Linked DNA regions of Stegostoma tigrinum. The protein of the gene in region 1 interacts with the protein of each later gene in a biochemical or structural test. Links are inferred from orthologs where the notes say so. Each region holds a gene or a part of one and is shown on either strand. Other genes may lie near its edges.

Region 1 (7,758 bases):
AATAAATGATTAAGAGTAAAATTTGAACATTCTGCAGTTTATTCCATTCTGCTTCTAGTTGTGCAAATGAAGGCTACAAAACGATGTGTGAAGCAAGGTTAGTAAAATCATTGTGGTGCTTAAGCATTGCAAGTAGTAGGATGGAACTTCGCATTTAACTGAAATGTTTTCAGTTGGCTTTCGGACTTGCAATTTAAAATTGTACTTAGTTCATACGCAAAGATTTGGATTAAATCATAGGATCCCTATAGTGTGGAAGCAGGCCATCCACACGGACCCACCTTTATCCGACCCCTATAACCTATTTCACATGGCTAATCCACCTAACCTGCACATCCCCGCACACAAAAGGCAATTCAGCACAGTCAATCACGTAACCTGCGTGTCTTTGGACTGTGGAAGGAAACCGGTGCAGTCAGAGAGAAATGTGCAAACTCCACACAGACAGTTGCCTGAGACAGTACTTGAACCCAGGTCCCTGGCTCTGAGAGGCAGCGGTGTTAACCTGTGCCACCGTGCAGCCCAAAACTGATTTGATTATCTTCCTGATGTTTACAAAATCAATGCGAGTAAGTGCCAAGAGCTGGAAGACAATGTGGGAAAGTGCAAGCTCTCACAATTTGGTCGGAACAATAGAGGCGTAGACGGATTTGTGTGTGGGGAAATGCTTCAGAAATTTGAAACACAAACGGGTGTGAATTCTACTTCAGGATTCTCTGAAGATTAATACGCAGGTTCACTTGGCAGTTAGAAAGACAAACACAATGTTAGTATTAATTTTAAGACGGCGAGAAAACAAGAGCAGAGGGGTGTTGCTGAGGTTACAGATGGCTCTGGTCAGACCACTTTTGGAATAGTGAACAGCTTTGGGCCCTGTTTGGAAGGTTGGATATGCTGGCCTTGGAGAGGATCCAGAGTTGGTTTACAAAATGATCCCCGTGATGAAGAACTTGTCAATATGAAGAGCAGTTGAGGACCGTGGAGTTTATATAAATGAGGTGGGATCTCATTGAAACTTACAGAATATTGAGACACCCGAATAGAGTGAACGTTGAGATGATGTTTCCATTAGGAGAAACTGGAGCCGAAGGGCACAGCCTCAGACTTAAGGGACGATCCTTTAGAACTGTGATGAGGAGGAAATTCTTCAAAACAGAGACTGGTGAATCTGCGGAATACATTGCTGCAGAAGGCTGTGGTGGCCAAGTCATTTTAAGTCTATTTAAGGCAGGGATAGATAGGTTCTTGATCAGAAAGGGGATCAAAGGTATGGGGAGAAAGCAGGAGAATGGGCAAGAGAAACACATCAGCCATGATCAAATGGTGGAACAGATTCAGCGGGCCACATGGCCTAATTCTGTTGTTATACTTACGGTCTGAAAGAATTTTTCAGTATTAATACTTAAAAAAAACACAAGATTCCTAGGGAAACTTTACTTGGTTCACACAACACTTGAAAATCTCACTTAAAAACATAATTGTAAAATAATGTTTTGTGCACTCTACATTAATTTTATTTGAACTATTAGAAACAAGTATCTTTGTGTTAAAACTCAGAACACTGTATGTCAAAGTTTAGATTTCATAACCTTTTTACCAACATGATAAAGCTTTTCTTTTGCAATTTACTGAATATAACTACATGCAAATAAGCATGCACACAATGTTATCACATGCAAAATAATCTGATTACAGATCTATTCGAAATCATTGCATCAAAATCTTCCAATTTCATTACCACTCAGTCAAAATATTACTATAGAATAAATCATACTGTACAGTTGATTATTTGCTAAGACTTGCCAGGTTACATTGTCAGTTGCATCACCATGATTAATGACCACTGTTCTACATTCTACAAAAATCTCAAGGTGGTTGGCTATTTTGCTGAAAATTCATAATTTATAATCTATTCGATACAACGTTAAAATTTCAGATTCCACTGAAAACAAACAACATCTTCAAAATGACAATCACTACCAAATTTCAACAAACAGCTAGCTTTGCTAACGTTTAGATTGTGTTTCATTAACAGAGAGGATCAGGCTGTTTTAGACCATATGAAAGATTTTTTTTAAGTATTGGAATGGCCGCGAACCGACCGCGAATTTAGAAACCATCCAAACCTTTAATGCTCTTGTTTCATTCGTTTATTCCCTCATCTTCAAATAGCATAAATCAAACAGTAGGCTTGGATTTTTCGTAGTCTGATTTAAATGTGGCTCCATATGTTTCATTAAAACGGCAGAAATATCTACAATACTTCGGGGTTTCAAGCCCTACTCTTCACAATTTCACAAAATAAACGTCCTGTAGCAAATAATACACTTGATATCAAGGATCGGTAATGTGGTAGAAAACGAATACGACCCTCCTTTCTTGTAATGATCCAAAAACACTTGTATCAGATTACACTTATTATTCCCATCTCCCTGTGACCAATCCGCCCTGCAACAGAGGAGCTAGAAAGGGGAAAGGGAGGCAAAGGGAATAAAATAATCTTCACCCCCATTACTCTTAATCAATGCATGGTCCAAACGAAAAGCCAGGTAATTAACGAAAAAAAAATTCACTTCGACTACAACATGCAGCAAATAAGCTCATCAAACTCTCCGCACCTCCCTCCACGGTAACTGACTTTCCTCTTACTTTTAAGGTCTGCCAGCAAAGCGTCTGTTTCAAAAGGCAGATTGCTCAAGGCTGAGCAGCGGTGAGTTACCACAGTGTGTATTAAAGGGAGACATGCCTGCAGCAAGCAGTGCCTGAAATAACAGGAGGCAGTCATCCTTTGGCTGTAGGGAGAGCCATTGCAGGAGCTACAAACCGTGCAGCTTACCTCATCTCGGAAAGCGCCGGCGGAGGGTCGCTCCCCAGCGGCGGCTCCACGGCCTTCACCACCCCCCAAGAGTAGAGATATCCTTTCGATCTGCCGGCTACTGGGTGTGGGTGAGACAAGGAGCCGCCTCTCTCTCTCTTGCGTCTACGTCTGTCTCTCCGCCCGTTGCCTAGTGTCTGAAACTAACGCACTCACTCTTTCTCCTTTCTCTCTCTCCCCGCCCCCCCAAGCCGTACGTTACCCAACGCGCCCGCGCAGCCAAACGGAAACGACTCACCGCAAACTCGTTGACTGACAGGAATAGCGTCCTATCGAAGAACGCGGCGCCGTCCATCCCTGGGTGATCCAATCGGCAAGCGTCCTGTGAAGCTGCTCCTCCCCCTGGAAAATCCGCCTTGCTTGCCCCTCGACCTAACTCGTTGCTTTCCGCAGCGTGGCGGCCCATTTGAGTGACAGCCGTTGTGACCATAGAGAGCGCGCATGTTCATGTCGCCCTGCCGGAAGCAACGAACAGGGTGTGAGCAGGTGGGCGGTGCTTGCTGTTGATGTGTCATCGGGTTAGGTTGACTCCGTGCCCGTGACGACGCTTTGGCTGTGATGGGCGCTTAAGTTATAATTGAAGGTAGACATTTAACTTCACCTGTCACCGCTGCTCCTTTCTCGGTTTTATAAAAGCTCACTACTCCAACCGTATTGAAGCAATTATTAGTGCTATTTTTAAAGCATATGTTTTAAAAGATTAAATAGAGTGGATGGAGTAAGGACCATAGTAGTAAGTATTGTATTTCCCTATCCTGTTTCTATTTGTACACAAAGTATTTAGGTCATTTCTGAAAAAGGGTCCCGATCCGAAACGTCAACTTTCCTTCTCCTCTGATGCTACCTGACCTGTCCCTCCAGCTCCACACTGTTGTCTTGGTCGTAGAATATCCGCAGTGTGGAGACAGGCCATTCGGCCCAACAAGTCCACACCGATTCTCCAAAGAACATCCACCCCATCCCTGTAATCCTGCCTTTCCCATGCCTAATCCGCCTGCTTAATTTACATATCTCTGGACACTATGGTCAATTCAGCATAGCTAATCTACCTAATTTGCACATCTGTGGGAGGAAACGCACGCTGACAGGGGGAGAACTCAACACAGTCGCCCGAGGGTGGAATGGAACTCTCGACCTGGAGCTGTGAAGTAGCAATACTAACGACTGAGCGACCAGCCGCCATGTCGTTTGTTTCAAATTATCAATGCAAAATGTTGTATTCCAAGAACGTTTTTGTTGTATACAATTGCCCATGAAACAATAATTAGTATTCTCAACGTTTCTTGAGACTTTTTTTTTGTACCTGGCCTTTAGTTTCAAGATAAATGTTGTAGCATCATGTAAGTTTTGTTATTTAGCCTGACAATCTAATGTGTAGGTTCTGCATGGCTAAACAAAAAACCTCAAAAAGGCAAATGTTTTTATTTTTCAAACTGCTTGTATTAATTGTTTACTTTCTACAGATAGTGATGAAGGCAAATCCCCATGTTTTCCCCAAATGATGTGATTTATAAGGGTGTCACATTGTTTTATTTTGTCCTGGTGAGACTCTTCAGAGTAATTTGTTCACTTATCATCACATTCGAAACATTATATACGTTAGCAGAGGACTGTGAGGTTGATTCATGAACTTATATGTCTCAGTTATAATGAAAGATTGTTTACCTTGTACATTTCTGAGAAACAGAATGAGAGTGGAATAATAAAGTCCTGGAGAAATATATCAGGTCTGGCAGCATGTTGACTTGATGGTAGGCCACAGAGCATGGCGGTGAGGGGTTGACTTTTGGACTAGAGGCCTGTGACCAGCAGTGCTCCTCCAGGGGTCAGTGCTGGGTTCACTTTTGTTTGTTATTTATACAAATAATTTGGATGAATATTTAGGAGGCATGGTTAGTGAGTTTGAGATGACACCAAAGTTGGTGGTATAGTCGACTGAAGAAGGTTATCTGAAATTACAAAAGCATCTCCGTCAATTGGGCCAATGGGCTGAGGAGTGGCAAATGGAGTTTAATTTGGATAAATGTGAGGTGTTGCATTTCAGTAAGATGAACAAGGGCCCTGGGTTCTGTTTTAGAACATGATTGACCTAGGGGTTCAGGTACATAATTCTTTGAAATTTGCATCATAGGCAGACAAGATAGTTAAGGCATTTAGCAAGCTTGCCTTCATTGCTCAGACCATTGATTATAGGCGTTGGGACATCATGTTGAGGCTGTTGGTGAGGCCACTTTTGGAGGACTGTGTACACTTGTGGTTGGCATGCAATAGGATGGATATTATTAAAGTGGAGAGGGCTCAGAAAAGATTTACCAGGATGTTGTTGGGACTGGAGGCTTTGAGTTACAGGGAAGGCTCGATAGGCTGGGAACTTTTTCCCTGAAGCGTAGGAGGTTGATAGAGGTTTATAAAATCATGAGGGGCTTAGATAAGGTGAATAGCAATGATCTTTCCCCTAGGGTCAGGCAGTTCAAAACTAGGGGGCATATTTTTAAGATGAGAGGAGAAAGATTTAAAAGCGACCTGACGGACAACTTCTCTGCACAGCTGGTGGTTTGTATGTTGAATAAACTGCCAGAGGAAGTGGTAGATGCAGGTAGAGTTAGAATGTTTTAAAAGACATTTGGGGACACACATGAATAAGAAAAGTTTAGAGAGATATGGGCCAAATGCAGGCAAGTGGGTCTAGTTTAAATTTGGAAACTTGGTCGCACAGACAAATTAAAACAAAGGGCCTGTTTTCATGCTGTATTATTCTGTGCAAGCTAAGTGGATTGGCCGTGCTGAATTACCCATAGTGTTCATGGATATGTCGGTTAGGCGCATTAACCATGGGAAATGTAGGGTTACAGCGTAGGGGGTCTGGGTCTGGGTTTGGGTGGGATGCTGTTCAGAGGATCAGTGTGGACTTGTTGGGCCGATTTGCCTGTTTCCACACTGGAAAGATTCTATGACTCTGTATCTGGAAGCAGAAACAGTTAATATTTTGAGTATGATAAAACTTGTCAGAATGGGAGTGGACTTTGACATTGGTGTTCAAGGCCGTCACAGTTAAAGAGAATTTAGATTCCGGGAAATGATTTTGGTAGTTACAGATTTAAGTAGCAGGAATACAACAGGATCTGAAAAGAAACTCTGAAATTTACTCAACTTTGAGTTGGGTGAAACAGAATATTGGTGAAGTTAGTAGAACAGAAAGAAGAAATTGTATTTCTTCAGCAATCAATCCAGTATCTCAGAAGTGCCGTACTAATAAATATTTTTATTCAACTGTTCGGGCATGTTGGAACACATGCCATGCGTAGGTGGAATTTGAACCAGGACCTTCTGGTACAGAGGTCTGGATGCTACCATCACAACTCGGGAGCACTTAGTAGAGCATGATTTTGATGGACTATGGACTCAGCACATTTCTACTACACCACTCTGCTGTCGAAATGATGTTGTTAGAAACTGCGGCAGCCAATTTGTGAATGTAAATACCCATAAGATGGGCTAGTTAGCTTCGATGGCTTGAGAATGGTGCAGAGGCACACCAACATTATCCTACCATTTGAGGATATTCTTGGGGCCTGTGCATCATGATATCAAGGCATAACTTCCAACTCTCTAGCAATGAGAAAGTTGCATAGAGGGAGAGAGAGAGAGATCAGAAGCAGAAATGAAATGATGAACAGACGTAGCTTGAGAGATAGGTATTGGCCAAAACATGGGTGAAATCCAGTAGTTTGTAGTCATTCTTTTAAAAATAGTTTTGTGGCAGTTAGCTGAATTCTGTTATCAGCTGCTACTCACTCAGCTGCCCTAGCTGAAATAAGTGGATGGGTTTTTTGATAGAAATGAACTGTATTCTCTTCAATATCCACCTAAGTTTTTGGGAAACAGGCAAGAAAGTGAATTTGAGGCGAGGATTAGATAAGCCATGATCGAATAATATAGCAGATTCAAGGGACCAAATGGACCCCTCCTGCTGCTATTACTTCATATGTTCACAAATGTATGAAACATTTACCTATCCTTGCTTAGTTGGCTAGCTGCTTTGAATGTGATGGTTTTCCTTGTGATATCGATGTTATATTTGCCCTTTAAATTGCTGCTACGCGCAGTAAAAAAATTTGTTGTCTTTGTCGATGTACATTGACAAAGTGGCCTGTAAATGAGATTAATCTGTGCTCAGTCCTGTGACTGGACTGTAAATGTACTAGCTCTGTTCTTTATCTTGGCAGTTATCCAGAAGAAGCAACATGGAACTAAGGGTATTAATATAACTTTGAATCAGGTGGCAACCATTTAAATATCGTAGTCACAGAAAAACATGATCAAGTTGAACGGAGAGGCATATAATTCCATGAAGATGGACAAATCAGAAAATTGGCCTGAATGTAAAAACCAGCAACAAGTGACTTAAAAGAACTAAAGAGAGAATGTAGAATATGAAAGATTACCTGGAAATAAAAACAAATAGGAAAGTGTCTATTCAAATATTTAAACAGTAAAAGACGACTAAAGTTAAAATTTGGCTTCAGATCAGTCTGGAGTATGGCTTGGGTGGGGACTTGCAGATGGTGAATTTCCGATGCACCAGTTGCCCCCGAGCTTTTGGGTGGCCAATGTCACCGGTCCAAAACAAATGCACCTTGTGGATTGTACATACTGCTGCCATTGTGCATCAGTGGTGAAGGAAGTGAATGTGGAAGTGATGTAATTCAAGCAGGTGCTTTGTTCTGATTGGTTTCGAGCTTCGTAAGTGGTGTTGGTGCTATGACCATCCAGCCAAGTGGATTGATCATAGTCTTGACTTGGGCCTTGTAGTTGGTGGAAAGGTAATGGGGAGACAGGAGGTGACAGAATAAGGTAGGGTTGGAGGTTAGATCGATCTTTGG
Region 2 (6,926 bases), on another chromosome or scaffold:
CTCTCTCACACACACACACACACACACTCTCTCTCTCACACGCACACCATGGTTTCACACACACTCTGGTTCAAAGGAGAGTGAAGGAGGATATGCCAGGAGCAGCACCAGGCGAATCTGAAGATGAACTGTCAAAAAAGCAGTCAGTGATAGACGTAACTAAGCGATCCCACAATGGTGGTGGGCAATTAAACAACTCACTGGACAAAGTGGCTCGCTATCCTCAGTGATGGATGAGCTCAGCACATCCTTGCAAAAGATAAAGTTGAAGCATTCACAGTAATCTTCACCCAGAAGTTCCGAGTGGATGATCCATCTTAGCCTCCTTCAGTGGTCCCCAGCATTTCTGATACCAGTCTTCAGCCAATTCGATTCACTCCAAGTGATATCAAAAAACGGTTGGACACACTGGATATTGCAAAGGCTACGGACCCTGACAATATTCCGAGAACAGTGCTGAAGACTTGTGCTCCAGAACTTGGCGCTTCCCGAGCCAAGCTGTTCCAGTACAATTACAATACTGGTATCTACCCGGCAATGTGGAAAATTGCCCAATTATGTCCTGTACACATAAGGCAGTACAAATCCAATCCGGCCAATTACTGCCCCATCAGTCTACTCTCAGTCATCAGTAAAGTAATGGAAGATGTCATCAACAGTGCTATCAAGCACCACCTGCTCAGCAATAACCTGCTCAGAGACGCCCAGTTTGGGTTCTGCCAGAGCCACTCAGGTCCTGACCTCATTACAGCCTTGGTTCAAACATGGGAAAAAGAGCTGAATTCCAGAGGTTAGGTGAGAGTGACAGCCCTTGATATCAAGACTGCATTCAACTGAATGTGGCATCAAGGAGCCCTGGCAAAACTGGAATCGATGTGTATCAGGGGGCAAACTCTCTGGTGGTTGGAGTCATATCTGACATATAGGAAGTTGGTTATGGTTGTTGGAGGTCAATCACTTCAGCTCCAGGACATCTCTGCAGGAATTCTTCAGGGTAGTGTCCTCAGCCCAACCATCTTCAGCTGCTTCATCAGCAATCTTCCCTCCATCAGAAGCTCAGAAGTGGGTATGTTCGCCAATGATTGCACAATGTTCAGCACCATTCGTGACTCCTCGGATACTGAAGCAGTCAGTGTTCAAATGCAACGAGATCTGGACAACATCCAGGCTTGGGCTGACAATTGGGAAGTGACATTCGTGCTGCACAAGTGCCAGGCTATGATCATCACCAATAAGAAACAATCTAACAACCACCCCTTGATATTCAATGTGTTCCCATCAGTGAATCCCCCACTATCAACATCTTGGGGGTTATCATTGACCAGAAACTCAACTGGACTCACCACAAAAGCACTTTGGTTACAAGAGCAGGCCAGAAGCTAGGAATACTGTGGCAAATAACTCACCTCCTGACCCTTCAAAGCCTGTCCACCATCTACAAGACACAAGTCAGGAGTGTGATGGAATACTCCCACTTGCCTGGATGAGTGCAGCCCTAGCAACACTCAAAAAGCTTGACACCATCCAGGGCAAAGCAGCTTGCTTGATTGGCACGACATCCACAAGCATCCACTCCTTCCACCAGTGATGCTCAGTAGTACAAGATGCACTGCAGAAATTCACCCAAGATCCTCAGACAGCACCTTCCAAACCCACGACCACTTCCATCTCGAAAGACAAGGGCATACGGGAACATCACCACCTCTAAGTTACCCCCAAAGCCACTCACCATTCTGGCTTGGAAATATATTGCTGTTCCTTTCCCATTGGTGGGTCAAGATCCTGCAGTTCCCTCCCTAATAGCATTGTGGGTGATCTTACAGCAGGTGGACTGCAGTGGTTCAAGAAAGCAGCTCACCACCACCTTCTCAAGGGCAACTAAGGATGGGCAAGATATGCTGGCCAACCAGCGACACCCACATCCCACAAATGAATAGAAAAATATTACATATACATGTTCGTCAAAGAAAACCTTCTAACTGATTAGAGACTTAACAGCATCTTAGGTTTAGGTTTGCTTAATACATGCTCATCAGTTGTGTGACCTTTGATGTTTTATTTATAAATTCTGTGTCTGATGACACCTCTCTCACTAATGCCTGAAGGAAGAGTGAGGCTCAGAAAACTTGTGTTTTCAAATAAACCTGTTTGACTATAACCTGATGTTGTGTGATTTTTGACCTTGTCCACTGTGGTCCAACACTGGCCCCTCCACATCACTGTACAGCCATACATGCCATCCCACTTCCTCCACGCAATGCTCTGACCAATGAAGGGAAATGCCTTCTTCACTGGACTCAAAGATAACACAGTATGGAGCTGGAGGAACACGGCAGGCCAGGCAGCAACACAGGAACAGGAAGGTTGACGTTTTGGGTCTGGACCCTTCACCCTGTCTTCTTTACCACCCCGATGCCACTTTCAAAGAACTAGGTACCTGCACCCCTCGGTCTTGCTGTCTGACAATACTGCCCAATGCCCTGTCGTTAACTGTCTAAGTCCTGCTGGTTTGTTCTACCGAAATACAATACCTCGCATTTATTTACATTCAACCCTATGTCATTCCTGGCCCAGTTGAAAGATATCAGAGAAAATGGGAACTGCAGATGCTGGAGAATCCAAGACAACAAAATGTGAGGCTGGATGAACACAGCAGGCCAAGCAGCATCTCAGGAGCACAAAAGCTGACGTTTCGGGCCTAGACCCTTCATCAGAGAGGCCAGTTGAAAGATATCCCATTTTACTGTTAGATAATCTACACAATCGACTAAAGCATCAATTTTGGTGTTATCCACCAAACTCGGGTAACTGTGCCTCCTCTATTCTCATCCAAATCGTTTATAGTTCACTTAGTGGCTGCAGTACATACGTCAGGAAATGTTCTTTGACCATCCAAGCACACCTCCTCCCTTTACCGGGGTTGCGTCGCCTTCAATCGGTCAGATCATTTCAAAAAATAATAATTTCCTGAACGAAGTTAGAGAACATAACAACTCTCACGAGTCCCAGTGATATCGGGCCTATTTAGTATTTTCACATTTTTATTTCTTTAGTAAATCATTCCAAAGGATCGTTCACTCAGGAAACCCACACTCCGTAAAACTACGAACGTCAATAAGCTTGCTGCAATTGCAATGAAGGGTGAACTCTATTTCCCAGAATGCATGGTACACGGCAGCGTAAACAGGACGACCTTTCCTCCTGTTCCTTTTCCGTGTTGGGCTGAGAAAGAAAATGCGGCCCCCTGTCTATTCGGCCGCATGCGCAGACGTTTGAAGCTCTCAAGTTTGAAGAACACACGGGATATTTTTGTTATTTTATCGTTAGAAGGGGCGAGTTGTTCCTCCTTTTTAAAAATCTTCCCAGCCAGTATTTGACGCCCCGGACGTTGACTCTCAACATGTAATCGTGGGCGTTCACACCAGTGGATCGGTAGTTTCAAGACGGGTTGGATGGGGGGGGCGGGGGAACGAATCGAGATTTGTGTGTGTGTGTGTGTGTATGTATGTAGGTCAGCTGGCGACTAGCTCCCCCTCCTCGATCCAGGGTGACCGTTGAATTTTCGTCTCGAGATCGCGCCGTCTTTCTGTCGCACACCCCCCCCCGCCCCGACCTCGTCTCGAGCTCGAGCCGTTGGTTGGCTGCCGTGTCCAGTGTCTCTCCGTTGGCTTCGCAGCCGAATGGTGTCCCCGGCGTGCGAGAGAGGCGATCGGGAGTACCAGCGACGACAGCAAAAGGAGCTGTTGCGGGCAACAAAAAAGCGAAAGGGGGACAGTCACTTTGAAACTTTTGGGGAGGGGGAGGGGGGGGGAGGGGGAAGGGGTAGTGAGGGGTGCTCTGAGTATAAGAAGCGGTCGGCGAGCGCTTTAGAAGTCGGACAGGCAGTAGAAGGAGGAGGAAGGGAATCATTTCGAGATCGCTCCTAGGAGTGGCGATCGAAGAAGAAAACGTCCAATCTTCTTTCTGACTGGAAAAAGGCTGCGGGTGCGCGTCCGGGGGCCGGAGGCTGCACCATGCAGCAGCCACAACAACAGTACGATTTCTTCAGTGAGGACAATGCACCCAAATGGCGCGGTCTACTCGTCGTTGCTCTGCGGAAGGTAAAAGCTACTTTGAAGATCTAGTATGTGCTTATATTTAAATAATCAATTGATGAGATCTATTGTAGTTTTTAGAAAAGAAATTCGAGGCTTAGCTTAGCGAACTATCGACTTGATGTTTTGATATTTTCTAACATCATTGAAAGATGCTAAAATGCTTTTTACAAGCATGTGTATTAAATCGGTTAAATATTTCGGTAGTAGGAACGGGGAACTGTTTTGAAAGGAGAATGTCGTTTCCTCTGCCGCTGTGAACTGGTTCGCTAAATAGATTGTATGTTAATTTGGTGAATTTGGCTTTTTTGAATAGCGTACAGTAGGATTAGGTGATTCAGCTGATGTGACATGACATTTCCTTTCAGGAGCAACTTTTTGTGTGAGCATACCAGTTTTTGCTATTAGTAATCACAATTATTAGCTTTCGACTATCAAACCATAATTAAGTGAAGTTTTACCTGATATGTTGCGATCTTCCTTAGGGAGTTCTATTCCCCCCTTGTTATTGTGTTGCAAATTACTTTGGTGTCGGGGTATTTTGGAATCAATTGCGACAAGGTACATATTTATCATGTGGTTTTTATTGTGGGGTTTTGGACAGTGAACAGAATGGAAGTGAATGCGAGACTGAGATTTCAAGTTTCAAGCCTGTGTGTTTCTTTTAATGAAAGGTCCGATTTAAGGCAAATTGTGGACCTTATGATTCAAAAGGCAGCCTGATATCTGAAAAGGATTGTTGGGCAAATGAGATAAAATTGTGGCAGATACACTTTTTGTCAAGTAAATCTCAATTTTGAAAAAAATTGAAACGCCCAAATATAACATGCTAATTCTTTACTTTTCGGATAAGGTTTGATTTTATTTTAAATAAGAAAAAGGAACTGTGGATTTTGGAAATCAGAAACAAAAACCGAAATCGCTGGAAAAGCTCAACAGGTGTGGCAGTGAATGTGGAGAACAATCAGAGTTAACGTTTTGGTCCTGTGTCTCTTCCTCTGAACTGCTGAGCTTTTTGAGCAGTTTCTGTTTGGTGTTTTTAAATGATGGGTTGCCCTGACTCTCGTGGGGGTAGTTTGCATGATTTTTAAAAAATATTAGCATTGATAATATTATCAATGTAATTTCTAAAATATTCCAGCAATATATCTGACCTAAATCAGTGACTCAAAGTCTTTTCTGAATGGGGAACTCTTTTGGAAATACTGGATTAACTAAGCCAGATGAAGTGTGCATTGATTGTAGAAAGCAGTACCATAATTAATTGATACAGAAGTAAAGCATGAAGAAAATTTTAAATTATTGCATTACTGTGATCGTAGTACCTGATTATCCTGGATTCCAGGTGGATGAGAATTTGATTTGGTTCTCTGACATTCAAGAACCTCTTGTGGATCTCAGGACTGATGAATAAGTGGCATGACTTGTATAAGTTTTTTCTTAAAAAGGCAAAGTTTTGGCTTATTAAACAATAGAACTTCAGTGCTGTAGCTGATGCTGCATGTGGCTGTACTTTGGGTTATGAACAATTGTAAGGAGGAATTCTCTTACCTGTCATATACAGTTTAGGCAAATGGGTTCCACGGTGTCCATTTTTGTCTTTCAACTAGCAATGAATATGCATGTTAATCATCTTGGAAGTGAATTACCAAATAGTTTCTGGAGCAACTGCCATTATTAATTTTGTAAATAATATATACGTTTTTAAAACATTTCTACTAGGATCCAAATACTTTAAAATTACAAATTTTTTTCTCACTTTTAGCTTTCTAACAGAAATTCTCTTTGAATTAAGATTTTTTGTTAGTCACTTGAGAGACATTGGTGTTGCTGACTGGCATTTTTGCCGGTTCATAATTGCCCTTGAGAAAGTGGTGGTGAACTGCTGCAGTCCATGTGCTGTAGGGTGACCAATAATGCCACAAGTGAGGGAATTTCAGGATTTTGACCCAGCAACAGTGAAGGAACAAATATATTTCCAAGTCATGATGATGAGTGTCTTGGAGGAGAACTTGCAGGTTATGGTGTTCCCGTGTAGCTGCTGCCCCTGTCCTTTCCAAGTGAAAGTGGTCGTGGGTTTGGAAAGTACTATGTAAGGATGTTTGCATTTCTGTAATGCATCTTGTAGATAGTAGCAACATTGTGTACTAAGTATCAGTGATGGAGGGAGTGGATGCTTGTGAATGTGGTGCCCATCAAACGTGCTGTTTTGGCCTGGATGGTGTCAAGTTTCTCAGTGTTGTTAGAGCTGCACCTGTCCAAGCTAATGAGGAGTATTCCATCACCATTTATGACTTGTGCCTTTGTAGATTGTGGGCAGGCTTCAGGAGAGTCAGGAGATGAGGAACTCTCCATAGTATTCCTGGCCCCTGACCTGCTCTCGTAGTCACTGTTTATGTGATGAGTACGAGAGCTTCTGGTCAGTGCAAACAACAAGATGTTGACAGTTGGAGATTCAGTAATAGTGAATGTCAAAGGACAGTTTTGGCTAGTATCTTATTGGAGATGGTCATTGCCTGGCATTTGTGTGGCACAAATGTTACTTGTCAGCCTAAGTTTGGATATTGTCCAGATCTTGTTGCATTTGAATGTAGACTGCTTCACTATCTGAGGAGTTGTAAATGGTGCTGAACATTGTGCAGTCATCGGTGAACATCCCCACTTCTGACCTTTTATGATGAAAGAAAAGTCATTGAAGCAGCTGAAGATGGTTGGGCTGAGGACACTACCATGAGCAACTTTTGCAGAGATGTTCTGGAGCTGAAATGAATGGCCTTCAACAAAGATGAAGGCTAATCCAACCTCTCCCACATGCAGTTGTTTAAAATGCAC

The links.
Region 2: the proteins of itsn1 (region 1) and son of sevenless homolog 1 form a complex in vitro, tested with the Homo sapiens proteins (2 studies listed by BioGRID, with this or other methods). The link is inferred for Stegostoma tigrinum from reciprocal best matches to the Homo sapiens genes ITSN1 and SOS1.

What each region holds. Positions count from the first base shown.
Region 1 is NC_081365.1:20,945,451-20,953,208, reverse strand, and holds the start of itsn1 (intersectin-1), read right to left. Parts: upstream 3,081-7,758; 5' UTR 2,837-3,080; intron 2,727-2,836; exon of another isoform or gene 2,650-2,726; intron 1-2,649. UniProt on the Homo sapiens protein: Adapter protein that provides a link between the endocytic membrane traffic and the actin assembly machinery. Acts as a guanine nucleotide exchange factor (GEF) for CDC42, and thereby stimulates actin nucleation mediated by WASL and the ARP2/3 complex.
Region 2 is NC_081362.1:21,098,895-21,105,820, reverse strand, and holds the start of son of sevenless homolog 1, read left to right. Parts: upstream 1-3,842; 5' UTR 3,843-4,013; coding exon 4,014-4,100; intron 4,101-6,926.